2 linked regions of the Arabidopsis thaliana genome follow. The protein of the gene in region 1 interacts with the protein of each later gene in a pairwise test. Each region holds a gene or a part of one and is shown in the gene's direction. Other genes may lie near its edges. The genes, in order: AT3G28430 and RR1.

What was found.
Region 2: the proteins of AT3G28430 (region 1) and RR1 interact in a two-hybrid assay, tested with the Arabidopsis thaliana proteins (one large-scale study listed by BioGRID).

What each region holds. Positions count from the first base shown.
Region 1 is NC_003074.8:10,653,778-10,670,554, reverse strand, and holds AT3G28430 (CLEC16A-like protein), read left to right. Parts: upstream 1-7,782; 5' UTR 7,783-8,150; coding exon 8,151-8,203; intron 8,204-8,574; coding exon 8,575-8,626; intron 8,627-8,699; coding exon 8,700-8,776; intron 8,777-8,856; coding exon 8,857-8,990; intron 8,991-9,076; coding exon 9,077-9,173; intron 9,174-9,253; coding exon 9,254-9,311; intron 9,312-9,402; coding exon 9,403-9,511; intron 9,512-9,611; coding exon 9,612-9,735; intron 9,736-9,887; coding exon 9,888-10,074; intron 10,075-10,226; coding exon 10,227-10,552; intron 10,553-10,675; coding exon 10,676-10,764; intron 10,765-10,843; coding exon 10,844-10,914; intron 10,915-11,115; coding exon 11,116-11,226; intron 11,227-11,310; coding exon 11,311-11,376; intron 11,377-11,505; coding exon 11,506-11,643; intron 11,644-11,733; coding exon 11,734-11,839; intron 11,840-11,925; coding exon 11,926-11,997; intron 11,998-12,113; coding exon 12,114-12,172; intron 12,173-12,267; coding exon 12,268-12,427; intron 12,428-12,573; and 5 more. Other genes in the region: CLE25 (CLAVATA3/ESR-RELATED 25), read left to right, coding at 299-335; AT3G28450 (Leucine-rich repeat protein kinase family protein), read right to left, coding at 1,379-3,196; AT3G28420 (Putative membrane lipoprotein), read left to right, coding at 15,231-15,881. UniProt on the Arabidopsis thaliana protein: Involved in membrane trafficking and vacuole development through membrane fusion at the vacuole. Required for membrane trafficking machinery and accumulation of flavonoids in the seed coat.
Region 2 is NC_003074.8:5,749,211-5,764,296, forward strand, and holds RR1 (response regulator 1), read left to right. Parts: upstream 1-6,610; 5' UTR 6,611-6,902; coding exon 6,903-7,089; intron 7,090-7,145; exon of another isoform or gene 7,146-7,504; intron 7,505-7,586; coding exon 7,587-7,739; intron 7,740-7,822; coding exon 7,823-8,263; intron 8,264-8,336; coding exon 8,337-8,413; intron 8,414-8,491; coding exon 8,492-9,637; coding exon of another isoform or gene 9,638-9,643; exon of another isoform or gene 9,644-9,860; coding exon 9,861-9,929; 3' UTR 9,930-10,233; downstream 10,234-15,086. Other genes in the region: AT3G16850 (Pectin lyase-like superfamily protein), read left to right, coding at 120-434, 565-685, 769-1,014, 1,098-1,771; COBL8 (COBRA-like protein 8 precursor), read right to left, coding at 10,433-11,853, 12,354-12,894; GATA17 (GATA transcription factor 17), read right to left, coding at 14,542-14,925.

The sequences.
Region 1 (16,777 bases):
GTCACTGTATACACAGATACCGATAATCACTGGTTTCTAAAAAGATTATTAGCATGCAGAATTCTTGTTCTTTCCTTCTTTTCAGTGTCACTATACATTTTGTGTACATTAAAGAGCTCGTCTTTTGAAAGCAGACAATGTTATCATGTTTTAGTAAAAGCTTCTTCTTTATCTAATTTTAAAGCCTTAGAGAAGAATTAAAGGCACTTGTGAAGAACTTTGACCACTTTAGTTAAAGTTTATTACTGCAGAAAGAACTCTACTTTAATAAGCTTTTGTTTCAAATCTATTTCTTCAGGAAAGCAGAAACTTCGAGACGGCCACCAAGAGTATGATATTGACTGTAATGTTTATGTCATGCGGGCTTCGTTCATTTTCGGGTTTTTCTACCGTCTCAAGACACAGTGAAGTATTCAACCTCTCAATTACGTTTCCACGTCAAGAAGCTACTATTTTTTCTGAGGCAATCATTAACTTCAGATGTTAGAGATATGCTATGAACTCATAGCTTTGTGAAGTCTTGCTCTGTAGAATTTTGGAAGGTGAAGTCTCTGCTCTCTCTTTCGTTTTGGAACATTGTGTCTAAAGATTGAAAATCATTCAGAAGATTGTTGCTAAGATATTAAAGACTTCTTAAGAGTTTTTGTAATAACATTTGTATTTAGTTATTATAGGCTTATGTCTTTATCTAACTCTCTGTTTCCTGTTTTCCTCATCTTTCTTTATTTGCCTTTTGTTTTAGAATCTGTTAACTTTAAAGTTTGCTTTTTTATGTTTCCTCTGGCTAAAGCAAAAAACCATTAAACTAAAGTTGCTCCATTTTCAAAAATCATTCTCCCACTCCAATGATATTTGCATCTTAATACAAGGCTTGTCCTTGCACAACTTTAGAATCACATACATTTTCATTTTTGGGTTCTTGTGAACTTTGGGAATCTTATATTCTCTGTGTAATTTTGATAGCATCTTACAAAGTGAAATTCAAAAGGAGTGAGTGACCATAGATGCTAAAAACTTGTCTTTCTCTTTCTTTCTTGCCTTCTTTAGCTTCTTTTCTGGGATTGATTTTGACTGTATCGAGAAGCAGACCCCTAAAGTAAGATTCTGCAGAGACATCTTCTTTATCCTGTTGTTCACTTTCTTTTTGTTCTTAAAAGAAAATACAAGTGAAAAAATTATTTTGTCACTCTTCCAATACTATAGAAAGACACACTTGCAACACATAACATGTCTAAAGACTTTGACACAAGAGAAAACAAATAACATATACATTTCTGTTTTTACAATAACATATAGTGTCTCTACAAGTAGTACAAGATGATATAGACAACAAATAATTATACTCTTACTTCCTCCTCGTATCATAAAAGGTTCATTTTCACACTTTCTCGTTCTCTTGCGTGTCGAAAATCAAAGGGAAGTCGTCGTCTTGTTCGGAGAACGAATAGCCTTGTTTCTCAGCAATAGCTTTCAGTGACTGGTATGCCTGAAACATTGACCATCTCTCTTTAGGTCTTGAACTCACACAGTTAAGAGCAATCTCAACAAATTTCGAGATCTCTTCGTCATGTCCTTTCCCTCGAATGTTTTCATCGAATGTCTCAGCGATTCTACCTGAGCTTTCAAGCTGTTTCACCCAATCCACCAAACTCCCTTTAAAACCTTCACCTCCTACAGCTTTTAGCCCTGTAGCCAACTCCAAGAGGACAACACCGAGTCCATATACATCACCTTTTAATGATGCTAGCATTGTGGTAGAATATTCAGGAGCTACATAACCAAACTCTCCTAAGTCACCAGTCATGAAACTACTCTCATTGTTATCCGAGGGAACCATAAGCCTTGCAAGCCCTGAATCTATTATCCTTGCATCGAAATCCTCGTCAATGAGAATCACACTTGAACAAATGTTTTGGTGTAGAATTGGAGGTCGACATCCATGGTGAAGCCAAGCTAAACCTCTTGCAGCACCTAAACCAATCCTAAACCGAGTCGACCAATCTAATTCACCCCTATTTGAATCCAACAACGAGTGAAGTGTCCCATTAGACATATACTTGTAAACAAGAAACTTCTCTTCTTCCACAACGCAGAAACCAAGAAGCGGTGCTAAGTTAGAATGACGAAGCTCCCATAGCTGATTCATCTCATACCGAAACTCCCTTTCCCCGAGCTTACACGTACTCAAATGCTTCACCGCAAGCGCTGAACCATCCGGAAGAAGCGCCTTATAGGTAGTCCCAGTCCTAGTGGAAACAATAATGTTCTCTGAGTTGAAGTTATTAGTTGCAGCCATCAAATCCCCAAGTTTAACTTTAACCAAAGGCTTCTGAAACAAAGACACTTGAGTAAGCTTATGACTACGAAGTCTCTGCGCTAAACCGCTAACTCCTACTTCGGTTAAACCGCTTCTTCGTCTCCTTGTCCACTTCAAATGATAATACCACCAAATCCCAAAAGCTAACAACATTGATGCAGCAGCACCAAACACACCAGCTGCAATTATTATCCCAAGATTCTTCTTACTTAAACCACCACAACTCGAAGATAAAGGACGACCACAAAGACCTTTATTCCCACTAAAATCATCAGAGGAATAACTCGGTGAGCTAAAGAACACAGGAATGCGACCTGAGAGATCATTATTAGCAACAGAGAACCTCCCTAACCTCCCTAAAGCCGAGAACTGAACCGGGATTTGACCCGAAAGCCGGTTATCAGACAAAACCAAAGAATTCACAAAGCTACACTTAGCTAAATCAGGAGGAATCTCACCATTCAATTCATTGTTTGACAAATCAAGAGATACCAAAAAAGGTAACCAATTACACAACTCTGTAGGGATATTACCAGACAATCGATTACTAGAAAGATCAAGTTTTTGTAAACTCGCACAGTATTGAAGAGAATCTGGGATTTTACCAGATAAACCCATATCACGAAGCTCAAGATTGATAACCCTATTCTCCTGATTGTTCCAACAAGACACACCAACGAAGTTACAGAGAAACCCAAGAGTTGTGTTGTCGAAGTTCCATGATTTCAACGCGTTTTGAGGATCTGTGAGAGATGCTTTGAGTCCTCTTAAGCATCTTATGTCGTCTTCATCTGCAGCCATAACAGAGGAACAAAAACAGAGGAAGATGATGAAGCATAAAGGAAGTAACTTTCTTGGTTTTGAGCCGATCTCTTTCATGGATGATGAAGTGGTTTCAGAGGTTGTTTCTGGGTTTGGATTAAGAATTAAAGATTTTGTGTATCTGCCAATGAAAAGTTGCAGAGAGACAATATGTAAGTCAGACGTGTTGAACGGTCGTCGCAAGGATTATAGAGTAGTCGTCGACTTTGATGTCATTTTTTAATTATTATTATTATTATAGTAATTTTTAAGTAAAGTTTTCAAAGCAAATTATAACAAAATTCCATCATTGTCTAGTCTTTTTTGTAGTTGAATTTCTTTTTTATTCGACTAGTTTGTTCGATTTGAAATATAATTTGTTTTTTTACCTTAAGTTGACTTATCTTATAGATAGATCATTTTACATAAACATTATGTTGATTATTTTCGGACTCTTTTCTTTTTCTTCATAATTAATTTCGGATTTGTAACTTTTTTTTTTATCATCAAATTTTTTTTTAAAAGTTAGAAAAGCCAATTTTTAAATAAATTATTTCCATATGTAATATGTAACGGTTCAGTATGAATTTTTCTTATCAAATTGTCCGCTATAACATTTGCAGTTCGAGAATTTAAAAATATAGGGAAACTTGTGAATTTTTCCTTGTCGCTCTAGAACTCTTCCACATATATTGAAAATGCTAATCATTCGGTTGGAGAAAACACCATCTTCACCAAGTCTGAACAGTCTGTAAAAAAAGTTATTTTTTGGTTGTCGGCACCAATCATACACTTCATCATCCAGAGTACAGCTTCGACTTCTTTATGTAGTGGAGATAGACTTCTACGCAAATTAGCAACTCCCATGGTTAGCGACTTCCTATTTAATAAGGTGCAAAATCACTCTTATCCATAAAACTTGTCATTTCCTTTCCATGATCCGTCGACAAAACAACGAAAAACGAAACAAATATTATGTGATATATCCTTTATCCGAATTTGTTTTTTCGATTCTACAGAACCGTGTTTTCAGTATTAAGCTCAAATTGAGCAAACTCATGGACTCATAACTCAAAAAACCCAAAAATAAACATATAAAACCCTAAAGTTTTGATAAATATAATAGATCTAAAATTAGAAAATCACATAAATAGAAACAATTAAAAAAACTTTGTTACAACAATTTACGCAGATGATAAAGTTTTACGACCGTCTTTATATTGTTTTGGAAAAAGTCACGGAAACGATTCATATATATTATGGTGAGCTTTTGCAGTAAATCATATGCTTGTTGTGAACCGAGTGGTAGTTAAATTTTTTTTCTGTCAACCATGATGGTAGTTATTTTTATTGGTTAATTTTGATATTTAAGGATTCTTACAATCTTTTTGGAGTGTGATATTTTTATAACAACAAGATGACAATAGCATTAAAACTGGCATGTTTAATTTGATAAAATTATAAAAATTCATTGGATACAAGGAAGACGCTTAAAAGTTTAATTCCATTATCCAAGATATCTCGATAAACGTCATTTATAATTACTAGCTAGAACTTATTCTTCTTAAAACACTAGTTGCAATTATTAGTCCAAATGATATAGTTGGATTACACACTATCTGCAATCATTAGTCCTAATGATATACTCCATCTGTTCCAAGAAATTTAATGTTTTGAATTTTTAATTTATTCCATTAAGATTAATGTTCTGTAAAAGTATCATCATTAATTTAGTTTGTGACCAATAAAAGAATGAGATAAATAATAATAATATTATTAAACTAACAAAATAATAACTAAAAATATAAAATTTACTTTTTCTTAATAGATGTGCAAAACTCAAAACCTCAAATTCAGAGAGAGTATTTGTTACCAATGAAGTGTAGTGGACACGAAGGTGAAATATCTAATTCATAATACATTATGTATACGTCCTTGAGGATGATCTAAGTGGATTAGGAGAGATAAATTTGCATCTCAATGGAGTTTGTGTATGATCTTTCTTTGCTTAGATTCAAAACCTCAACCTCACTTTTTTTTTTCTTTTTTTTTTGACACAGCCTCAACCTCACTTAATATCAACATATCATGAGAAATGTATATGTCTCACAGTCACAGATTAGCCACCCGTAAACGTTTCTAGTGGAAAGAAAATTCGATTTCTGTATTTCGAAAATTAGTTTAGGCATTGGTCTAGATTTCTAGATTTTCCCTAGTTAACAAAAAAAGAAGAAGCATATATTCATATGTATTTCATATACTTAATAGTTAATACTATTATTGCATATGCGTGCGTGTGGTGTTGTCACCGTAGACCTTTTGTTAGAGCAAATGGGGTTTAGCCGGTTAGGTATGTATGGGTTTGGTATGGTCAAATATGCACTTTTATATAGGAATATTCATGACAAAGTTTAAATAGTTTTTAACTAACCTAACCTATATACGAACACAACTACAATGAAAATGATAGAACCACCATATATTTTGATGTGAATATACCTTAGCATAATCATCTTTCACCCTAGTGGCCTTCGTTTTTCAACAAACGAAAATTTATACTAATGGATTGTGGCTATTACTTAAGTGACATTTTTTATAGATGCACTCAAAAAGTTATAGATTATTCTATTGTAATCACTTTGGTGATAAATGAAATTAGTTACTAATTTAGTATTATTTTAATAAAATATTTATTTGTATACTAAACTACAACAATAGATATATTTTTATTTGGTGGAATCCTTGGTTCTCTTGGTAATTATCTTGGATTCCAAAGTCCAACACTTACCGGTTTAATTTGACTATGTTTTAACCTTTTACTGATAAGTTGCTCTTGGCAATCACAAAATGGGCTTTGCCTTTGGTCGTTTTGGCAAAGATATTCCTTCTGGCTCAAATCAAATATAGAATAACAAAAGACTTATCTGTCTTTTGTGCTCGTATGGTTTGACATAAAAAAATTTTGTTTTAAGGAAAGCTTTTTGTTCCATTGTTGAATTCGAGAGATATAAAAGATTTTTGTTCCATTGTTGAGAAGTGGAGATTGATTTCTAGATTGTGGGAAGGTTGCGGTTCTTCTCGAAAAGGCAAAAACTTTCTCTTGTAAAATCGTTTTTTATTTTAATTTTGTTTAAAATTAAAAATTTTAAAAATCTAGAAGATAAAAATTTGGGACTTAAACCACGCATTCGATGGAATGGGTTTCAATTTTTGTAGAATTAACTTGTAATTTATTAGATAAAATGCTACAAATCAAAAGTTTTGAAATTCAGTACGTCAGATTAGATGTATCGTGGTGAGAAATAATACATGAAATACTTAACTAAAACAAGCTTAACAAGAAAACTTCATGATGTGAAATACAATGGTCAAAACTTCATAACATTTTTAGTCATGCCTTTATAAACTTTTGTATTGTTTTGTTTGATGTTGGCACACAATTGTGGGAGAATCTCAAGAAGAAATAATTCGTTACTTTACTAGGAAATAAACAAATAGAGTGGTCTTCTTTATACTACTAGCTAGTTTAAATCTAAGTAAACGTTTTTGATAGAGTTCTGAGTCATTCCAATCATTTTTTTGCCATTTGTAAATATTATAAGGGAAATTTGCAAGTATAACCTAAAAAAATTTAATAATTTGGAAACTAACACTTCAAAAACCATAAGGTGATATTGTGTATATTATATGTAATAAATACAATTATATCCTCTTCTTCTTCTTTCTTCTGCATGAACATCTTCTCTCTTCTTTCTTCTTTTCTTCCACAACCACCACAACCACCACTACTTTTAAAGCCATTATCGCCGGAAAATCGTATCCGAAGCCACCATCGCCGGAAAATCGTCACCGGAGTCATCATCACCGGAAAATCGTCACCGAAGCTATCATCACCATTGTACTATTCTATTTTGCTGCTAGATTTTTGAAAATTGAAACTTGAGATGATTTCATTTCGTTTAATGATTTTTGTTTGGGTTCCATGTATAGTATCTTAGGGTTTAGTTTTCTTAAATCAATATATATTTGTAATTATCTTTTCGTCACCGGCACCGCCATTGTAGTCACCATCGCCACTGACACCGCCATTGTTGCCGTCACCATCACCACCGGTACCGCCACTGTTGTCGTCACCATCGCCACCGGCACCGCCACTGTTGTCTTACTATCGCCATCGGCACCGTCGCTGTTATCATCACTATTACCATCGGCACCGCCACTGTTGTCGTCACCATCACCATCGGTACTGTCATTGTTACTATTACCATCATCGCCATCTTCGCCACCATCACGCTAGCCAACACTTTTCTCTTTTATTTATGTCCATAAACCGAAAAGAGTGTCAAGGATCACGTCACTCTTCTTCTCTTTTCACGCGCGTGTTCTCATGTTTTAATGAGGAGTTACTTAACTTTTCATCCCTCTCTAGTGTTATTTACTTAGTTTTATATATTAAAATGCTATATTCTTAAATAAATTATCAAACATGGTCATTTCTGCAAATCACCAATGTTATAATGACAACAAACAATTTAGTTTTGTAAATAATAATGTGTATGACGTGGCAGTTGTGAGTCATTGATTATCGAGAAGCCTCTTCTCTAGTCAGAGGGTCCAACGTGAAAAATAAATGTTCCCCTTAAATTAAATTAAATGCGAAAGACGGATCTTTCAATTGAAGATTCTTTCTTTGAATTCGAGATTGAACCCGACCCGGATCCGAATCCGAATCCAAATCCAACGCCAGCTCTCAACCCACATCGGTGCTTCAATTCGCAATTGCCGTCATCAATCTCTGTTGTTTTACCGGAAGAAACATCTAAACAATCATTCGAAAAATTCGAACTTTTTATTCCCCTCGATATACGATTTGATTTTGTATGATTTTGATCCCTGGATCAGAGATTTCGTCAGAGTTTGTGGAATTTGGTTTAATCGACGAGAAGCAATAATGGAAATTGGGTTTTCTCGAGAGTGAAGGATGATCCAGAGAAGAAGACTGGAACTTTCCAAAGGATTGATTTAAACAATCATGTGGCTTTCCTTCTTAAGACCCAGAGATCGATTCTCCTTAGCCGAACTCAGGTTTCTTTGATCGCCTTTGGTTTTACAACAAGTTTCAGTTTTTTTTTCCGATTTATCTCTCTTTTGGTTCATTTGAATTGTGGCTGAGATTATCCTTTGATTGTGGGGGAAAAATGTTTCTTTTAAGGGTGTTTGTTGAATTGGTAGTTTGCAAGTAGTTTGCTAGGGTTGATGATTTGAGTGGTGCCATTGTAGGGAAACTATATAAGTTCATCTTCCCTAGTCTCAGGGGTCAAAGGGACTATGTTGACCATTGTAGGAGAATGATTTGTTCTCAGAAAGTTCATTGTGATCGTAGTGTTACGACATTAGTTGTTATACCAGATGATGATGAAACATAGTAAGTGTTGAAAGTTTTGGTTTTTATATAGGTATTTGACTGACCAGCTGAGAAAGATTCAGATAGTAAACGAGGCTAATAAGGTTAGTGGACATTGTCTTGGCATTGTTGTTTTGTTAGGCTTTGATGTCTGTTTACCGGGTGTCATTTTTGAAGGATCTCGTTATCGAGGCACTGAGATCGATTGCGGAGATATTAACTTATGGGGATCAGCATGACCCCTTATTCTTTGAGTGAGTCTTTTTTGCTAATTATCAGTCAGCCACCTTTGGATTTTTCTTTTGGCATTTGTTAATATTTGCGATTGTTGCAGATTTTTTATGGAGAAACAAGTAATGGGAGAGTTTGTACGTATTTTGAGGGTTAGCAAGACAGTAACAGTTTCTGTCCAGTTGTTGCAAACCATGAGTATAATGATCCAAAACCTAAAAAGTGAACAAGCCATCTGTGAGTTTATCAGATGCAGTATATTTTTCTATGAGAATTCTCATGATTATAGTCTATTGATGATTTTCTTTTGAAACTCCTTGCAGATTACTTGTTCAGTAACGAATATGTAAACTATTTGATAACATATACATTTGACTTCCAACACGAAGAGCTTCTATCTTACTACATATCCTTCTTAAGGTAAATTTTCCGGCTGATATCTTGGCTTCAGGAAGTACTTACCGATTGTGTCTTTTAACTGTTTTGTTTGTTTTATGTAGAGCTGTTAGTGGGAAGCTGAACAAGCATACAATATCGTTGCTTTTGAAGACCGAGAACGTGAGTATTCTTGTTGTTTCATGTTCCTTTAACTTTTATATTCCTTTATGGATTTTTCTGCCTTATTTTAATTCTGCGTTTCTGCGTCTAGGATGTAGTAGTTTCTTTCCCCCTTTATGTCGAAGGCATACAATTTGCATTTCATGAAGAGAACATGATACGCACTGCAGTTCGTGCCCTGACTCTTAATGTATATCACGGTCAGTCACTTCTAATAGTTCTTTAGATTTGTCACTTGTATGATAAAAGTAATCAGAACCTTTAGCAACATTTCTGATGCCTTTAATTTGTTTTTTGCAGTTGGCGATGAATCTGTGAATGATTATGTAGTTAGTCCACCGCACACCGAGTACTTTTCAAAATTAATTTCATTTTTCCAAAAGCAATGCATGGATCTAAGTGCAATGGTCTTGAACACTCTAAAGTAAGATTCAGTGCAATTTCATTTCCCAGGGAAATAGCTTGTAAAATTGATAATAAGTTATCACAACCCCTTTTCATCTACCTACTTATTTTGTTTGTGTATGATTTGGATAAATTGTATTCTGAAAGATTTTCATTTAATCTTTGCTACAGAAGCCCATCTCCGGATTCAGGTGGAAAATTGTTTTCTGCCGTTGATGGGATTGAGGACACCTTGTACTACTTTAGTGATGTTATCTCTGCTGGCATACCTGATATCGGGAGGCTGATAACAGATCACATTCTGCAGCATCTAACTCTCCCACTTCTTCTCCCGTCTTTATGCTCCGAGGCTGTAAATGTACCAAATATCACCTTTTCCTCTTAATTTTATTTTCAGGGTTGACTTATTTGTTCCTTTGGGATTTTGTTTTTTTTACCCTTGTTAGGTTTGACTTTTTGCCAGAGTTCTATTTTTAGTTCACTAAAGTATTGATTTTGTGGTTATTTCAGGACATATCAGTTGATCCTGTCACTTCTCTTTATCTGCTTTCATGCATCCTGCGGATAGTTAAAATCAAAGATTTGGCAAATATGACTGCTGCTACTCTTTTCTGCCCTGTAAAAGCATTCATTTCAAGTTCCCTAGTGAAACCTAATAGCAGCTTGGCTCCTGAAGGCCTTACATATGTAAATGGGCATCCAGACAAGGGTGTTACTGAGGAGGCAAATCAACAGTGTTCAAGCACTGCGGCAGGCATGAGTGACGATGGAAATTCCCACTTATGCAGTGAAGATACTCCGAAAAGTATCTTCAACAATTCTCATATGACGTTTAGGTAAAGTGTTAGCAAATAAGACCTTGAATGAAGTTGGGATAGTTGCTGTCTTAGTATTGTCCTTTTTTTTTTTTTTACTATTAAGCTTATGTGTTTTTTTATTTCTTTTTTCTTTGTAAATAGGGAGACTTTACTTCAATATATTTCTGAAGGAGATGATGTACAAGCTCAGGGTTCCTTGTTTGTGCTAGCCACTCTGCTGCAGACAAAAGGTATTGGCAGTGGCATTGTCATTGTGCAGATTCTTCTTGCCTTTTCTGGTATTGACGTCTTAAATTCTGATTTTGGTAGAACTTGAAGAGTCAATGCTAGATGCTTTTGGCATTCTTCCTCAGCGTAAGCAGCACAAAAAACTTTTGCTGGTGAGTTTCTGTCATTATCCTTTATTCTTGTGCGTAATATATTTTCCAGCAAATTTTGCCAGGGAAAGTCTCATCTGCATGGATTTTGTTACTAATACCTTTTACTTGACCATCTACTAAAGCATATTAGCATGGACCAAAAAATATGGACTACCTTTTTTCCTTATTATTCAAAACTTAATTGGTAGCTATCTCTGACAGCAATCTTTGGTTGGGGAGGACACTGGTGAAGAACAACTATTTTCACCGCGAAATGGTTCCATGAGAGATGGCTTAAGTAGTGAACTTGATTGGTATCTACGGAGGTTGGAGGTACTTCACTGCATCTCTTAAACTCCATCTCTTTGGTGTTGTATTATTCTGTGATTGACTCATTCGTTCAAGTACCTTCAACAGGAGCAGTTTGGAGTGTGCTGTTCATTGCCTGGGGCTGCAAGGTGCCCCCGTGTACATAGACATCAGGTAAATATGAATGTTTGTAAACCTGACCTACTAGCCTAGCTTCTTCTGAAATTCCAAATGCTAAAGATTGGTTCTTTTTCATAACAGTGCAAAAGTTCTTGTCTTAATTTAATTACAAATATGGTGTAGGTGGTGGATACATTGGTCACTCTTCTCTGCCGAGAAAACATATCTGCAGAAACATTATGGGATGGAGGATGGCTTTTACGCCAATTGCTTCCTTATAGTGAGGCAGAATTTAATCGTAAACATCTCAAGATGCTGAATGTATGTTGCTTTCAAGATGTTTTTTTCGGTTTGCCACTGTTTCTCTTTCCCCTCTCCCTCTCTTGATTATTTACCTCCTGCTTATCGCAGGTTTCGTATGAGAAATGCAAAAATTCCCTTACCAGGGAAATTAAAGGTATCTGGCCTGATCTACTCATCAGGGTACTGCTTGATGAGTGGAGAAAGTGCAAAAGAGGCAAGTAAAGAAGCGAATTTTGGATACGTTGGATTTCGTTTGTAAGAATATGTTCAATGATTCTGATACCAATTCTCTTTTGACAGTAATCGAAGCTCCATCCCCTCAAAAAGAGCCTAAATCTGTTCTTCTTCAGCTGGATAGATCCTCTTCTAATGGTAGGATATTTATTACACATTCTACGCAATTAGCTGATGACAAATGTGAATGATATGGACATTCCTTGTTGAAACCCTATTTATGCAAACCATTAACACCTGAAGATCTTTTATAGATAACTCTGTTAGCGAATCATCATTCACAGCTGGTGAAAGAATGTGCGAGGTGGTAAAGGTATGTTAATCGTTTTCTCTTTATATTTCTATCAGCGCTTGTCGTTTATGTATATGAATACGGACATTTGATTATCAACCCTTTCCTCCTTATAGGTTTTCGTGCTTCTTCATCAACTCCAAATTTTCTCGCTCGGTAGGTCCTTACCCGAGCAGCCGCCTATTTATCCTCCAGCCGACCGATCTGAAACTTCTCGTGCCACAAGAGCTGGTCTGGATGTATCAGTCCCCAAACCTGGCACCGAACTGAAGCTAGGTTAGCGCATGATGCTTTTATACTTCTCCTACTTACACCATCTAACCAATTACATGATGTCATCTCTTGTATTTCTTAGAACTCCAGTTTGATTGATTTGTCTCGGTATCCATAGGTAATCTAATATTTGCAATTTCCTGGTGCAGTTGATGCTGTACCCTGTAGGATTGCCTTTGAAAGAGGCAAGGAACGAGATTTCTCATTTCTAGCATTATCATCCGGTGAGTCTGGATGGATTGTCCTTGCTGATCCAGATAATGGAATCGTCCGTGTAACGGCACCTTTAGCCGGCTGCAAAGTACGTAATCACCTTCACTGTCTTCTTCTTTAACGAAAATGCCCGTGAAGATCCACAGGAAGGCCTGAAATATTAACATAGTACATGATCTCTATCATCTTTTGTTTGCTTTTCAGCCCCGAATAGATGAAAAGCACCCGAGATGGCTACACTTGAGAATCCGACCATCTACATTACCGTTGTTGGATCCAACAAAGCGAGGAGTCTATGAGAAGCTCAAGTCCAAAGGTCTAGTAGATGGGAGATGGATATTAGCATTCAGGGACGATGAATCTTGCCACTCTGCTTACTCAATGGTTGCAGGTGAGATCGATCTACAATGCAGCGAGGTAGAAAGAAGGTTAAGGCCATTGTTTGACCTTGAAAGAAACCAGCTAGAAGATCAATGAAACATCATACTGCCGATACCTTGCCTTCATCGATCGACTTTGTCTTCGTCGGGTTTGAGATCTCACATTCAAAAGTTTGGTAATGATCTTCCCCATCTTGAATATACTAAACTCCAAGCAATTTAGATGCACTCTTAGGAGCAGCTTCCATGATTCTTGCAACGTACCCAGTTTTCAGGTACCTTGTTTCACAAGTTTCGTGTCCATTTTTTGTTTGTTTGTTTTCGTTTATTATTTTTTTATTTTTTTTTGTAATAGTGGTCTTAATGTAACATCATTGTATAAAATACCATTTGCTTCATCGACATATCATCTAACGACCATATACCTATGTATCAAGATATTGTAGGTTTGCGACATATGGAGATTCTCATTTCATTAATGAGCTCCAAAAGAAACAAACTTTATTCAGCTGATATGTTCTTCCTCATAAACATGCATTATTAGATTGTTATATATCACAACATTGGGCACCAAACCTTGAGGCATTTGACACCTAGTTTTGCGGAAAGAACTAATATACCGCAAGTGGATGGTGAAATGTTGCAGAAGTAACTACGGAATCAAACCAATCCTCATGCAAATGAAGAAGAAAAGTGTATGATTTTGTGTCGTACTACCTAATAACCAAGTTAAATCAAAAATTTGGAAATTTTATTGGTAATACCTAATAAAAAAAAAATTGGACCAAAAATTAACAAATGGATTAAAAAAAAAATCAACTCCCGCTTCACAAAACAACAAAAAATGTAACATGAAGGAATGAAACCAAACACATATGACTCAGTGATGAAATACATAACCAACTAACCAAAGCAAACTTTTTGAATAAATAGTTCTAAAATTTTCTTTATATTGGTGCCCTAAAACTGCTTTATGGGAGGGACAGACTCATAAGCCGTTTTAACAAGAAAAAAGAAAAGAATGGAAGCCGTCTTAAGCCTACCATTAGAAGCAAATAGCTTTAACTTTCGAATTACGATTTCTAATGTAAGTTCTTGAGTTTAGGACACACTATTATTAAATTATAAACATTCAAACTTTTTGTATGAATCTAGATTTTAAAAGTTGTCAGTAAATGTATGTTAAACAATTTTGTATAAAAGTTGCTCAATGCAATTCGAAATTTCGAGGTTTTGGGATTAGAACATTTGCAAAACAGATAACGCATGTGTTTGGGAAAGAAGAACAAACATGGGGCCACACACTACCATGAGAGAATTAACATGACAGATAGGAGCAGGCGTGTAATGTGTCTCAATTATTATTTTTATAGCAAAAATTGTTATTCGATTTTTCAACCAAAAAAATAAGTTTTCATTACATTTTCACATCCTGCAAAAATGTTCCCTCCTCTCAGCTTTGCATGAGAGTTCCCATTGAACTTAACTTTGAGTAGCTAACACTTCTCTCAATTTTTTTGTTCCCCTAAAAAACAATAACCCAATTGATATTATTTGGCCATTATATTTGCGTATTTTAGTAGAGCTGTAAAACGTATTTAAACATACCTAAATAGATCCGTCCGCATGGATAATATTTTTGTGGGCTATAAATTGATCGGTCTATGTCAACAAGACAACAACAGACCAAACTAGACCAAACTAGACCAAACTATGGGTGTCCGCATCCGTGGCCGTAACATTTGGTAAACATTGCAAGAAGCGATCCACAAGCAATAGAAGAATTTATTTAAAATTATTTTTATTCCGGAAACTAAGATTGAAAAAAAAATTGAAACTAAATTTGCATATAGTGGAAGTTGAAAATGATTGGTTTAAGGAAAATGGTCCCCAAGAGAAAACAAAGGGAACAAGAAAAGCAGAAAAACATAAGAAACAAAGGAAATGAGAAAAAGCCTGAGAAGAAAGTAATAATAATATGTCTAGAATAAGAGCAGATTTGAAGGGCATGCTTGTTCTTTGTCTCCTCCACCTTCTTCTTCCTTCTCCTTCTCATGTCTTTTCATTTTCATTTTGTTCTTTCTGTTCGCCATTTGGTCTTCCACAATCGGACCCACCAAATATTTGTTTTACGAATCTTGAAATTTCGTATAAGAATCGATCGGAGGAAGGAGAAAAGAAACAGAGCAAAGTAGAGAGATATAGAGAGAACAATGGAGATGAAGAGAGACATTAGAGTGGAGGAAGAGAACATGTGTACTTCATTGTTGACTGCAGTTGTTGTTCTTTCAATGGCTTGTCTTAAACACTTCTCTTCTGTATCGTATTTGATCGAGCAATGGCGTTCGTTGGTGTTTCTTATACTCAACGTCGTTCTCTTAGCCGTTTACTTTACCTCGACTCGTCCTAACCTCGGGAGGAGTCATGATTTCAAGACTCGTCGAGGAGGTAGATTGAGAATGATGCGAGAGAAAAAGAATAAGATTAAGAAGAAGAAGACAAGGGTGGTGGTGGAACCGGCTTGTTTTGACCAAGGTTTCTTACTTGTTGAGCCAAAGGAAGTGATCAAGAAGTGTGTTTTAGTGGAGGAGACGAAAAGAGTTTGCCCTAAATTTGAGGAAACTGTGAAAGATTGCTTGTTTCACAAGAAAGAAATAGAGTATAATGGAGAAGAAGATGAATTTGAGCCAGGGAGGTTATCCAATGAGGAGTTGAACGAGAGAGTTGAAGCGTTCATCACGACGTTTAGACAACATTTGGTGCTAGATGCGAGACGAGGTAGAGACAGAGAAACTGATCAGAAGATGAGACCAAAAGACTCTGACAGTAGCTTTTTAGTTCGGGAAGTCACTTGTTTGGTTTAAGAGTTTCTCTCTACAATCTTTTTTTCATCTTAAGATTCGTTCGGTTTTGTTCGTTCTTTGGCTTCGTTTCTTTTGTGAGTTTGAGCTAATAGCTCAAAAGATCGCATCTTCTTTTTTTGATGTAATGCCATAAGAACACAAAAGTATATTCAAAAAATTTACATAACAACAAAAAATCGAAAATATAATCTTCTTCGAAATTTTAAATCTTCTATGTAAGTCAAAATATTAAATGACATAAACCAGTGAAGAAAATTAACTTGTTGTACATGTGGAGTCGGAGATTCACACTTATGGATTTTGGGTGTTTGAGTGTATGATAAAAAAAAAAAAGGAACGAAGCTCTTTCATCATAATGAACAAAGATCACTTGCAATTTCTAGTGTAAAAATGTGGATCCCTGCCCAAGCCTATGTTGTTTAGTGGCAAAAGAAAGTTTTGGTGAATGGTAAAACTCTGATACCTAAGTTCGATTATCCCTAAAAACAAAAATACATTTGTTTGGGAAGTCTGTCACTTGGGTCTTTGTCCAACTGGTTTACATGATAGTTAGAAATGTAGGCGGCCTTACAATCCCTTATAATTAGTCGGAAAGCATTATAAATTCGGATCAGACTGTATGGTAGCTCAATTCTACCTGTATCGAGAGAAGTCTACTCTATAACACTTCGGTGCATTCCTAACAAAGCTAACCAAATCAGCCGATAGGGTACATCAAAAAAAAATATGGATCCCTTTCTTGTGCTTAGAGAAGACATTTCGGTCATTTCAATCTTCGAGATCCCCATTGGCACGTGCACCTCTCCGTGATTCTTGAATCATCCATAGTAAATTCAACGACTTCACGATCAATTATATGAGTCTTTTAGCTGGTGGAAGCATTTCACATGGAGGAC
Region 2 (15,086 bases), 4.9 Mb from region 1:
GTTTTTTGTTTCCCTTCACATATGACTCTCGTTAGTCATCACATATAAGATTTGCTAACATCATCAGTTTTGATCTGATTTTGTCGAATTTAGACTGATTTTCTCAAGTTGTAATGCAGGTGGCATTGGTCTGGCTACTGGCATTCACTATTCTACTGATCAGTGGGGAAGGCAATAATGCCATCTGCAAGGAGAATTTTAAGTTAGACCCTAGACCTCATAGTGTTTCGATCCTCGAGTTTGGAGCGGTTGGTGATGGGAAGACGCTCAACACTATTGCTTTCCAGAACGCTGTTTTCTATCTCAAGTCTTTTGCGGATAAAGGCGGTGCTCAGCTTTATGTTCCACCAGGGAAATGGCTCACCGGAAGCTTCAATCTCACAAGCCATCTCACTCTCTTCTTGGAGAAAGGAGCAACAATTCTTGCATCACCGGTATGAGTGACCTCTCTAGCAAATCTTGTAAAGCTAAATAGTGTTCTTTAGGTATCTATAGCTCTTTAAGAAGTGTTTGGTAGACAAGTTTTTTGTAACACGGTCTCTCAATTGTTGTCTAATGTGCTAGGATCCGTCGCATTGGGACGTTGTCAGTCCTCTACCGTCCTATGGTCGCGGAATTGAACTTCCTGGAAAGCGGTACAGAAGTTTGATCAATGGAGACAATCTAATAGACGTAGTCATCACCGGTAAACAACAAAATCATGCCATCATTACCTTAAGTTTCTGGCTTGACAACATTAAGACTCAAAGCTTCTTTATTTTTTGGTAGGTGAAAATGGGACATTTGACGGTCAAGGTGCGGCATGGTGGGAGTGGCTTGAGTCCGGGTCCTTGAACTATAGCCGACCTCATATCATCGAATTCGTCTCCTCTAAACACATCCTCATATCGAATCTAACCTTCTTAAACGCGCCCGCAATCAACATTCACCCTGTTTATTGCAGTCAGATTCATATCCGCAAAGTTTTGATCGAAACATCCGTTGATTCTCCCCACGTTCTTGGAGTTGCCCCAGGTATATACCATTTCCTCATTCTTTTCCATCACTACAAAATGTTACCGTTTGAAAGCTAATTTCTTGAACCGTTTTTTTTCAAGATTCTTCGGACAATGTTTGTATCGAGGACTCAACAATCAACGTTGGCCACGACGCGGTTTCTCTCAAGAGTGGTTGGGACCAATACGGTATACACTACGGCCGTCCAACCACCGCTGTTCATATTCGGAATCTCAGATTAAAGTCTCCCACCGGTGCTGGAATCTCCTTCGGGAGCGAGATGTCAGGCGGAGTCTCGGATGTGACCGTTGAGCGTCTTAACATACACAGCTCACTCATAGGTGTAGCCTTCAGAACCACCAGAGGCAGAGGAGGATACATCCGTAATATCACAATCTCCGACGTCGATCTCACAAGCGTTGACACAGCCATAGTAGCCAACGGACACACCGGGTCACACCCGGATGATAAATTCGACCGGGACGCACTCCCAGTCGTGACACACATTGTTATGCGGAATTTCACCGGAGTTGATATAGGAGTAGCCGGGAATCTCACCGGGATCGGAGAATCTCCCTTCACGTCGATATGCCTCGCGGATATTCATTTACAAACGCGATCAGAAGAATCTTGGATATGCTCCAACGTCTCTGGTTTCTCAGACGACGTATCACCGGAGCCTTGTCAAGAACTCATGAGTTCTCCTTCGTCTTGCTTCGCCGGTGGTAGCATATACGAGGGTGATGCGACGGCTCAGTCGTATTACAGTTGGTAATTATAGTAAAATAAAATGGTGATGAAGAAGAAGAAGAAGAAAAAGAAGAAGAGAGTGCATGAGGTTACGATACGATTGGATTTTCGAATTTTTTTTGTCAATAAGTTCATAAAATTTGTTGTCAGAGAGCGAGAGGAAGAAGATAAAAAAAGAAAAATTACGTTTTAAGGTGGTGAGTTTCAAGAACAGAGCGAGCTTTTCTATTGTATTAATGTACAGCTTCCATTTCTTTCATTCATGGTGTAACAAAATTCATCTTTTTTTCTTTCTGTGAAGAAGAAAATAAAAAATTATATGTGAAATGATTAGTTATGTCTTGGATGCTCTTTGTTCGGTTATAGATAGATACTTCCAATTTCAAAATGCTCTCATGTTTTGGAAGATAGTATTAGTTCAGATGACGAAACACACAACAATGTGTGGGATTGGATCAGCACAACAAGGAGTCCTGTCGGAATATAGGAAGTTCATTTGAATCAAGTATCATTGCCAATTTGCCATTTTAAGATTCTTTCTTTTTGTTGTTTGCATTAACTTGTTTGCTCTGTTTGTGAGTTTCAACGTTTAACTATCATTTTTGTTTATCAAAATCAAATGTTAGGTTTTTGAGTACAGCTGTGAAATTGATGGATTACTACCTTTTATTTATACGTAACTTCCAACAATCTTAATTTTCTCCATTGAGATGAAAAATGCTATCATTACATAATTATGTGAGCTTTGACAATGCAGATCTTCGAACCTGTCATTGTAGTTTTCAGCTCTCAGAAGTCAGAAGGTACACCCATCTCTTGCACATACATATACACACACACACATGTGACAAGACCCAAGACGCAACTCAAGACACATTCCAAACCCAAACGGTTCAAACCAATGATTCCAGGTACAAGCGACCCAAACCAATCTCAGCCCATCTCTGGTTTCGTGTCCCACAAGTTTAAACCAAAGAACGGAAAAGCTGTTACGAGCGGCTGAAGAGTGGCTTGGGCGGTTGCAGGTCATTTTTCCGGACTTTAGATACTTCCTTTCTCCTAATTAGCGATGATATTACTATTAGCCATAAGTTAAGATTAATTACCGTCTATATTTTTTTTTGTCAAAACATTAATTACCATCTACTGATTAGTAATTGTACATTTTCATGTCCGTTTTCACTTTCTTTGGGAGATTAAAATTTAGTGACAACATTTTTTCTTTGTATAGGACCGCAACTTTTGTATTTTTTTAAAGAAACATTTGTAAGTGAAATAACAGTTTTTGAATTACATATCGTATGAAACCAATATTAGTCCCATCTTGTCGAGAGGTTGGCAAGAAGAAAAAGCAAAGGAGTCGTGTCGCAATGTTGCTGCGGTTAGTTCGTCGTAACACTATGGCTGCCATACTCTTTTCTTCTCCTGAACTGACACGTGGCTCATCTTTTTAGCCGTCGACCCCATTGTTCTCCCACTCTATTCTTTTGCTTACACTCAAACTCAACAGTTCTCTTTTTTAACTGAATAGACATATAGTTGTCTGTTTGACATAACGATAATTAGTAGAAATCTAAAACATTAGTTAACAAACAACAAAAAGAGTTTTAGGAATGGTTCTGTCATCGGGCTATATTTTTTCCCCAGATGTTTAGTGTAATTAATATAAAATTTCACATTTTAACTCCTATGTAAGGCTTATCAAATCCAATTTATACTCTAAATCATTGCATCAATGTAACGTTCATTATTATTTTAGTGTGATTTTGTTTGTTTTTTTATTGTAATTTTTTCATTGTAACTCAGTGTATACAACACTTGCAAAACGATTAGTTTGAAATAAATGAAAAAAGTTGTTCAGTTTCTAACTATTGGTGTTTAGTAATACAAGTTACAACTTCCTACCAAAAGTTATGGGCACATGATAGGACACCCATCAAGTAGATGAATATATAAGTTATGTACATAACTCCACATTTCTATTGGCAGGCGTTAATTAAATTTGGTTATACAAATTTACTTTTCAAAATCCATATGGATTAATAATTAGGACGAAAAAGAACCAATATTCTATTGGCCCGCGTGAATTAATATTTGACCTTAAAGCATTATCTAGAAAAAGAAAAAAAAAACTCCATTATACCATTTAGTTGCTTAAACAGATACTTCCAATGCAAAATATGAAAATTTGTCTTCATCACATGCAATCGATTCTGAAATATTCACATTCGAGAATTTTGGATAAAATGGTCCTTCGTATATGAGCATATCAAGTTATACTTTTGTTTTAACGCATTTGTATGTTTTGGATCTAAGTATTTTGATTATCCAATTTGCTGAGTGCATTTTCCATCAAGAACTTCAACAAGTTTTCAGTAGCTTACTCACTTAATGTTAATATAACGCTCCATAGGTGTGCAAATGTTAGTCATATTAAAGTTGTTGGTTCTGCATAAAAAGCTGAAACATTTGTGTTCTACAAAACCTTTTTTGGTGACATGGACCTATAGTTGGTACTTGAAATATAAATAAAATAGGAGGATCTGTAATTCATGTCTGTCTAAGCACAATAAAGTGAAAAATATAAATTAAAAACTCAAAAAGCTCATCGTAAGAGTAAAAACTTTTTACAGAGAATATACGGTTTCAGCGGGTTACTTTCTTGGGACCTTCTCTATATTATAGCTTTTGGCGCAGTTAAATTTATGTTATATTAATCATCAATTTTTTGTTTTTACGTTTTATATCGTATGTAAGGAAAAGTAAAGAAAGCTATTAGAAAAAAAAGCTACTAAACATGAAATTATGAGTATATCTTTCTTAAACTCAAATTCAAGCTCTCGTGGTAATAAGTGGCTATTGACGATAACAATTACAAGTTGGAATGTTGAATAGTTTCGTTTTTTTTATTTCTATTAATGTTTTTAAAATGATTGTTGAAATAGGGAAAATTTAACAAATGAAGACAACGATAGATGGAGAGGTCGATGCAAATGGTTCGAGTGATCTTATCCATTTCATGTGGACACGTGTCGCAATAGGGAAAGCTTCTCAGCAACGTGATTTATTTGTTTTTTTCTTATCATTAAATGTTTTCATTTTATTCTTCGAAATATACACATGTACAGTATTTCCAAAAGAAAATACACTATAGTTGATAGTTCATAAAAATTAAAGAAATACTTAATTGATTTAATATTCGTATTGTTGAGTTTTCCTTCTAAATACTACAAGTAGTGAATTTTACTTGATAACATTGATTAATGTAAGAAATTAGGTATCGATGCACATATGAAACAAGTCGTATGTCACACTTAAAACTATCGTTAATTTGAAAAAGATAAGACATGTCGGCGGTGCTAAACAACTATTTAAGCAAAGTATACACTGAACTTGGATAACTTAGATATAGTTTACATTGAAGTTGACAAATTTACACATTTATAAATAAGTTACTGGTTTGTATGTGTTTATAAATATGTCGTAGAGCAATCGAATAGTCAAATATGATTTGTTATCCTATACATTATTAAAAATATACTTTCGGGGGAATAGGGCGATTGGTGGGTAGCATATGATGTTACTAATCATTCAGATGAACCATTTGCATTATTTCTTTGTTTATTTAGTATCCAACGTTTTAAGAGAAGAAGCGCACATGTTTTTTTTTGCACCATATACTGACTACTGTTGTTGTAAACTTGTAATTATACATACATATATATATATATATATATATATATATATGTTTTCAACAATCAAACGTACAATTTTTTTCTATTTTCCATTTAATACAATTTATTTCCTAGAACTACAAGTTGTTTTTGATTAAAACATGAAAAGTATACTATATAAGTTATATTCTTACTAATCATAGTTACACACGACTTGAAATAAATACATACTAAAAAATTTGGAAGGTTATATGTTTAATTTGCACCAAAAAAGGCATCGAGTAATCTTATGTTATGTATACATCATATATCTGGTTTTTTTTTGTTGATAAAAGTATATGTACTATATCTTAGCTAAAGATGTAGGTGATGATGGGAAATGCTTAGGTGTATTTTGGTACCTTAATCATATGCTTGAATGTGCGTAGACGTATTATTTTGTTTAATTTAATGATATGATTATATTTTTATTTTGCCGTTTAATTTAATACATGTAGGTCCAATAGACAGGAGGCATTGTTTCTCAATTACATAAATTCAAAGGGTAGTTTAGTAAATAAATTATAGGCATATCAAAACTAAGAATTTTTTATATATATATGCAGCTGCTCTTTTGTTTAAGGCAAATTCCTATTCGAAATTGGTAGAAAATGGAAATTAAAACAAAAAATTAGGAAACTAACAACAATAATACTAATGAAAATCTATTAAGGTTTGAGTTTGCAAACTTTACATATGACGAGTTAATTAATTTTTTCATGCATGAGCTGGATCCACGAATCAAGGGTCTTTGGTCCCACTTTCTTCCCAATTATATAAATTTCCTTACCCTATATTTCTTTCATTGATGATTCAACCCCTATATTTCACTACTTCACAAAATAACCCAGAATTTGAGCTCAAAGCAACATCCAAAATGTTCTTCTAAATAGAAAAATAAAACAGAATATAGAACAATAGTACATATAATATACAAAACTAACTTGTAAGAAATTGAGAATAAAAAAGAGAGTGGATCTAAATGAAATTTAATAAAACCAATAGTCTAAATGTAGAGAGAATGATGAAAATAAAGGACATGTCAGCTTCTACATATATGTAAATAAAAAATATATATGACTGAGTATATAAAAACCACATTTTTTTTTTCTTCTGCATCTAAATGTTACAAAAATTGAATAGGAAAAATTAAGAGAGCTTTACTCTGTGAATAAATAAAAAAACAGAGAAAAAGAGCTCTAAGGTGAGACAAGCCTTGTCTTCTTCAACTCCCTAAGTCTCATCTCACCATCTCTCTCTTCTTCTTTTTTTTGGTTACCCAGAAGAGATTCACTTCTATCTCCAACAATTTCGTATTCTCTCATAATATTCAATTTTAAATCGAATAAAACTCGCGTCAATTTCCCCTCTTTCTTTCTGGGTATATATTCTTTTCTGCTTTTCTTTTTTTGTTTCTTGGGTTCGAGCTACATAGAGAGAGGTATGATGAATCCGAGTCACGGAAGAGGACTCGGATCGGCTGGTGGGTCCAGCTCCGGTAGAAATCAAGGAGGTGGTGGTGAGACCGTCGTCGAGATGTTTCCTTCTGGTCTTCGAGTTCTTGTCGTTGACGATGACCCAACTTGTCTCATGATCTTAGAGAGGATGCTTAGGACTTGTCTTTACGAAGGTTCGTATCCAAAAACCAAGATCTTCTCTTTTCATTTTTTTTTTTTTTTTTTTGTTCGTTTAATCTCACGAGAGAGAGAGAGAGAGAGAGAGAAAGAGAGTTCATGGTCTCTTGCTCCAATGATGGGTTTATTTGTGGTCCATTCTCGAAAATTATGTTATTTTGAGGAATAATTATGGTTTTCATATCGGTGGTTGACTAACTTTGCTCCCCCTTTAATAGAAACCATTTTGGTTACTTTTTAAGATTCACATATTAATCTCGAGCTTCTTCATTTAGATCACACCATTTTGATCTACTGATAGATTCACATGTAGATCCATTGTATATAATAAGTTAGGGGAGGTTTCAAATGGATTCAAATCTTGAGTCTTTGATCTTTGACTTGAGTTTTGGTTAAATGTCAATTCATGAGGTCCTTGTTGTCAGAATTCAAATCTCTGTTTTTTTCTTTTATCTTTGAAGATATGAAACATTTTGGTTGTTATGACATGCAGTAACGAAATGCAACAGAGCAGAGATGGCATTGTCTCTGCTCCGGAAGAACAAACATGGATTCGATATAGTAATCAGTGATGTTCATATGCCTGACATGGACGGTTTCAAGCTTCTTGAGCATGTTGGTCTAGAGATGGACTTACCTGTTATCAGTAACGTTCTTTTTACTCCCTCAAATCTCATCTAAGTTTGAATCTTTTTTTATAGATTATTGATCTTGTATTCGTTTAACTAGTGATGTCTGCGGATGATTCAAAGAGTGTGGTTCTAAAGGGAGTAACGCACGGTGCGGTTGATTACCTTATCAAGCCTGTACGTATGGAGGCACTTAAGAACATATGGCAGCATGTAGTTAGGAAGAGGAGAAGTGAATGGAGTGTACCGGAACATTCTGGGAGCATTGAGGAGACTGGCGAGAGACAGCAGCAGCAACATAGAGGAGGTGGTGGTGGTGCAGCTGTTTCTGGTGGAGAGGATGCGGTGGATGATAACTCATCCTCGGTTAACGAAGGTAACAATTGGAGGAGCAGTTCACGGAAGAGGAAAGACGAGGAAGGAGAAGAGCAAGGAGATGATAAGGACGAAGATGCGTCGAATTTGAAGAAACCGCGTGTCGTCTGGTCTGTTGAATTGCATCAGCAGTTTGTTGCTGCTGTTAATCAGCTCGGCGTTGAGAGTAAGACTAAAACTTCTTACATTTGCATTTGTGATTGTTATGCTCAGGGTCTAAATGATCTTCTATGGCGCAGAGGCGGTTCCTAAAAAGATCTTAGAGCTGATGAATGTTCCTGGTCTAACCCGAGAAAACGTAGCAAGTCACCTCCAGGTATAAATCTTATACTGGATACCAAAATGAGCCATTGAAATGCTTAGATGTTCTTAGCGGCTTTATGTGGACTTGCAGAAATACCGGATATATCTAAGACGGCTTGGAGGGGTATCGCAGCACCAAGGCAATCTTAACAACTCGTTTATGACGGGTCAGGATGCGAGCTTCGGACCTCTTTCGACATTGAATGGGTTTGATCTTCAAGCACTAGCCGTCACAGGTCAGTTACCTGCACAGAGTCTTGCACAGCTTCAAGCCGCTGGTTTAGGCCGGCCTGCGATGGTCTCTAAGTCAGGTTTGCCGGTTTCCTCCATTGTGGATGAGAGAAGCATCTTCAGCTTTGACAACACGAAAACAAGATTTGGAGAAGGGCTTGGGCATCACGGGCAACAACCCCAACAGCAACCACAGATGAACTTACTTCACGGTGTCCCCACGGGTTTACAACAGCAGCTTCCTATGGGTAATCGAATGAGTATTCAACAACAGATTGCTGCTGTTCGAGCTGGAAATAGTGTTCAAAACAACGGAATGCTGATGCCTCTAGCGGGTCAGCAGTCTTTGCCTCGGGGACCACCGCCTATGCTAACCTCTTCGCAATCATCCATCAGGCAGCCGATGTTATCAAACCGCATTTCCGAGAGAAGTGGTTTCTCTGGAAGGAACAATATCCCCGAGAGCAGCAGAGTGTTACCGACAAGTTACACTAATCTCACAACACAACACTCATCAAGCTCGATGCCTTATAACAACTTCCAACCAGAACTTCCCGTGAACAGTTTCCCGCTGGCAAGTGCACCAGGGATATCAGTACCGGTTCGGAAAGCCACTTCTTACCAGGAAGAGGTTAACAGCTCCGAAGCGGGTTTCACTACGCCGAGCTACGACATGTTCACCACCAGACAGAATGATTGGGATCTGAGGAATATTGGAATAGCCTTTGACTCACATCAGGACTCAGAATCCGCTGCGTTTTCCGCTTCAGAAGCCTACTCTTCTTCGTCCATGTCAAGACACAACACGACAGTTGCAGCCACCGAGCATGGCCGAAACCACCAGCAGCCACCATCGGGAATGGTACAGCACCATCAGGTTTATGCAGACGGAAACGGTGGTTCAGTGAGGGTGAAATCAGAGAGAGTGGCTACGGATACAGCAACAATGGCGTTTCACGAGCAGTATAGTAATCAAGAAGATCTTATGAGCGCACTTCTTAAGCAGGTTTGATTTGATTTTTTTTTTTTTGTCAAACTTATATAGAAGCATAATCTGATCCGTCAACGTACATGTTTGCGTTCAAAATCAAATATATAACAACTCTCAGACGCTTTCTCACCATTGGTCGCATGTCTTTTTCATAATAATGCAAATTACAACTAAATAACAAAAAAAATCAGTGAACCAAAAAAGTTGAAAAACACAATCTTGAATTATTGATATACAGGAAGGGATTGCACCGGTTGATGGCGAATTCGACTTTGACGCATACTCCATCGATAACATTCCGGTTTGATTGGATAAAAAAACCGATAAACCGGAGGGACTACCCGGATCTGTACTGTATCATTTTTACACGACGATCTACTAAAACTTGTTTGATATATATGTAGTCTGCATGAAATTTTAAATGGCAGATTATATAAGAAATAATTATTCATGTTAGGGGTTAATATCCTTGGAGATTCTTTTGTTCCTCATTTATGTAGTGAGGCTGTTTAGGGTTTTGTAAGTATGTATTTCGAGTAAATGCTTAGAATAATTCGAACAAACTTAATTTAGTACAACGCCACAACGTGAAATCAAAGCAATTCAAGATCAAAACACAAAGGGATTTGTCTGTTCAATATTTGTATGTATACATACTGATTACTAAAATCTGATCATACGAAATTCAAGAATCACACGGTGCACAAAGCACCACTAGTAGTAGAAGTAATTCTGCATCAAATCTGGTTAGAAAGAATCAAGAAAACTGTATATTTTCTGGCTAATGAGGAAAGTCCTTCACTGGAACTTTTAAATCCGAAGAAACAGTAGAGCCAAAAATGGTGTCAGGATGAGAAGAAAGGTGGATACATGTTTCCTGTGACTGTTGCTCGTGGGTAGTACAGAAGGGAGTGAACATTCCTGGCCGTTGAAGAGTACTTTGGTGGGAAACCCATCTTTGGAACCAACTTTGATTCCAGGAGTCAGTTTCTTGGTGAAGGAGATAACCGACTGCTGTTTCCCGGGTATCCGAAAGTCTTCACTCGGGTTTTTTCCGTCTTTCTCTGCAAGGAGATAGTTCAGTCCAGGGAGCCCTTCCATTAAAACAGTTGTGTTCTTCCCGTTGACCGCGATGATACTTCCGTTAAACGAGTACGCTTTCTGAAAACCGGGTGCAGCATTTCTCAGTTCAACCGCGGTAAACCAATCCACGAAATCAGTATCACCCCAGTTGAAGAGTGTGACTCGAGCAGTCCATCCGCCTCGATAGTCTGTAGCTAGGTGCCAGTTTATGCTGACTCCACAGTTATCTCCACAAGGTAATGGGTCCGGGACTTTCCGGTTTTTTAACACTGCCCAAGCGTTGGTAAGTTTGGTTCGGTTGTCAAATGGAATTAGAAGAGCCTGATATGGAAGAGGAAGAGCTGGAGAAGTTGTGCTGCAAGTACGCGCCACTCTGTCGCTAGAGCAACCTCCACAAGCGCAGGTCTTACACGGGATTACTGAGTCATTGAAATAAGAAGAGAATGAGACGCAGCATTTAGGAGGAGTTGGTTGAGTGATGTTGCAGACGACTTGCCAGCTAGCAAATGCACTCTTGTTTGAAGGCAAACCGCTTGTATCAGGGAACTGGCTTGAGCTGACACGAAGAGGAGGGCCACATTTGTAATCCGGGTTAAGGTTACCTTTAATCTGCCAGCTCTGGGGAGGTGTTATAGAGGAGATGTTGAGATCAGGAGGCATTTTGTAAACTTCTATTTGAAAAACCGATTTAGACTTCTCTGGATCCATGGACCGTGGCAGAATAGTTCCATTTCTGCAGCAGTATGGGATACGCCCGACATTGGTATCGTTATACTTAGTCAGGGGTAGGTCTATGATGTGTGGCCTTCTTGCACAGCTCATGACATTAGAGAAGTCAAGATCTTTATAGTATTTTGCTTGAGGACCAGTGATGCAATCCGACGAATCGACAACACTTGGATAAGCTCCTTTGGTTGAGAAGAGAAACTCATCTTTCATCCACATAAAACTTAGATCCCAATTGTCAAGCCGACCAAGCAGGTTATGATTCTCGATAGTGACCTGCGCTGAGTAACTCGACTGATATGCTCTGGTCACATCGTACATTATGGTTAGATCTCCTTCTTGCCTAGGAAGGAACTTTTGACCAATTTTGCTTGTTGTAATGTTCGGATTCGGTGTGCAACATACTTGCAGAACATTACTACCTGGAAAAAGCCATAGAGAAGAAAAGAAATGTCAGTGAAACACAAAGGAAACATTTATGCTCGCAGCAATAAGAGTCTTATTATGATCAAGAAGTAAAAGAAAAACAAATATGCAAACTGAACAGCTTAAATTCCAAAATGTTTAATCAGATATTCCACACATTTATCAGAAAAGCCAAGCATGAGATAGTTTCCTAAGTAAACTTAAGGTCTAATCTCAATTGCTAATAAGACTAGTTCAAACTTTTAGTTTACAAGAAATCTATATAAACAATAGAATTTTTCAACCACTCTATTGATCACAAATAGACCTGGTCAATGTGATCATATTGCTCGACTTTTAAAACTCTTGGTAATGCCTTCATAAGCAACCCAAGATCACATAATATTTAAAATTGCAACAATTCATTAAAAAAATTATGAACAATTAAACGAGAAATGAAAAAATACATTAAAAAATCTCAAGATTTCAAGTCATAAGATTCAGATGATTTTGATACCTTGTTGAGTGGGTTTAGGACAAGACCATCCATCATTAACAAGAGTGATGTTCTTCGGAAGCGGAACACTCGGCGGAGCAACTCCAAACTGAGTACCCACGAGCTCAACACGTGCTTCCATCTGAGTTACGTCGCCGGCCGTCATGATCGCCGTCTTCAAATCCGCCGATGGAAACCCGGCGAAGATTGTCCCGTTCTCAACGCTAGCCGGGAGGCTAGAACCGTCAGAGAGAACAGCGTTGGTCGCTGAAACAAGAATCTCGCGGTGGGCGAATTTAACAAAGACTTGCCACGATTTAAGCTCGTCGCGGCCGTTGTTTAGGACCGTGATCTCTGATTCGAACCGGTACGGCTGGTTCTTCGTGTCGTTTGGTTTAATCTTGGTACCGGTTAAGTAAGTGTAGGAAACGAACACGCCGTTGCAGAGATCGGCGTCTTTAGAGCGTGGTGGTGGAGTGTTGCGTTGAGACGACGTTAGTTGAATCGCCGTGAAGAGAGATGACAAAAGAATCCATAAAATGAAATTTCGAGTTAAACCCATGATTACTCTAAATCTCTTCACTCACAAAAATCTCTTTTTTAAAAAACAAATTCTGGAAATGAAAAGGTGAAAAATCGGAAGTTTAATTTTGAAGAGAGGAAGAGACCGCGTTAAAGAACAGAACAGCTTAGTAAGACGCTGTAATGAAAATTTATGTCCGCGTTGAAAATGTGTATATTTCCTTGTTTGGTCGGATTTTAATGTTTTTTCTTGATCAAGTAAACAAAGGTTACGAACAAAAGCCAAAGACAAGGTTTTGTTCTTCTGACAAAATTATAAAATAGTGGGTTTAAGTTTTCAAATTACAAGATGAACCATATATTTCTGTTAATAAAAAAATGCAACCCCAACCTATATCTTAGTAATTATGTGAATGTGTAATTTACACCTAATCGTTAGCTATAAAACATTGATACCAAACACAGTTTATAGAATGTTCGCTTAAATGACTTATATTCAAATATTTACTGATATTTCTGTCTACTAAATTTTAGTGATTTCTAAGAGTGTTTATGGAAGTTTTGAATGTATTGAGAGTGTGATTTGATAGCTAAAATATATTATGAAGATTTTGTTTGAATTTGTGAAAAATAATAAGGAAAACGTATCTCCAAAATTAAGAAATGGTGTTTATGGAAAATATCGACAAGTTATTCCTAAATTGTACTCTTTGCTTAGGAAAATAAAGGAATCAATGGAAGTAATGGTCCTAAATCGAAGAAACTGCATAATATAAGGGTGAAACACATAAATAGAAGCTTTGGTCAAAAGAAAGTCCCCCGTTGAACGAAGTTGCCCCGTTAATTTGAATCATTCTCGAGGTTCACGGCTCTACCTAGCCATGTCACACTCACACCATTCGTCCACCAGTGATCCATTTAAATGAATTATATTTTCGTCACCACTTTAGATTTTTAAAAAAAAATTATAAGTATGATTCATGACTTTGCCATATTTAACATTACTTAAAATTTTGTTGGTCCACCATTATTAATTATTAATGATGGCTTATTAAGGTTGAATCATACGCTTACATGAAAAACAAAACCAATTGCAAATCGAAAATTTACACTGTCCCTGTTACAAAGTTACCATAACAACTTTTAATCACACAAACAGATACTCTGCCAAGTGCAAATCGAAAAATTGCCATCCTTCAATAAAATGAAAAAACAAATCGAAGTATACAACCTCAGCATGATATATATATAAAAAAAACTCTAAACCATACAAAATCTGAATTTGAAACCAGTTGTGAATTCAAAAGCATATAAAAATTCAAATCAAATGAAAAACGACATCAATGGACCAAAAAACAAAAAAATGGTGGAGTTGACGGAGACAAGACAACTAGAATCACGCGCCTCACGATTCCCCCGATAAAGCCCAATATCTTGGGCCATATGGGCCCATACACAGAGAATGACATTTGAGGCACTAAAAATTAAGACCAATTCTCATTATTATGGCATTGAATGACTAAGAACCAAAAAAAAGTGTTGATATTTGAATTCATCAAGAAAATGAACACAAAACATTAGTGGAACCAAAAAACTAGGAACTTACACATTCATTACATATTATCTCTATCTAATTAAGTTAATCAAAATCGCTCTCACTTGATTATGACCTAATACAGAGAAACACTTAGGCGTAAACAGAGCTACAAGAGAGAGCCATGAGAAGCACAGCAGCTCTTTCTTCCTCACCGAGTTTTCTCCATAACCTCTTCTTCTCAACCGCTGATCTCTTCATCACCGGTACTTTAAACCCTAAATCCAAAAACTTACTCACTCCTTTGTTACTGCTACTACTACTACTACGCTTGTTATTGCAAATTTTCGGATCATCATCGATGTCGATCTTGCCATCATCAACTATGTTGATTTTGTATTTCTTGGCGTTTCGATGGTCGAGGTTTAGATCATTATTGCAATTGCTTTTTCTGTTCTTCTTCTTCTCCTCTGATCTCATACCAAGTGCTGCTTGTCTCTTCTTCCTACTCTTGATCCCACAAGCATTGCACAATGACTACATAGCAAAAGACAAACCAAAGAAATAAGAAAAATTTGAACTTCAGAGCAATATGAGATCAGATCTTTCCGGTCACTAAATTGATTCATCACCTAAATAAATTTGAAAAACGATAAAACCTAAAATAGGATCATGCATAATATAGATGCTATTTCGCG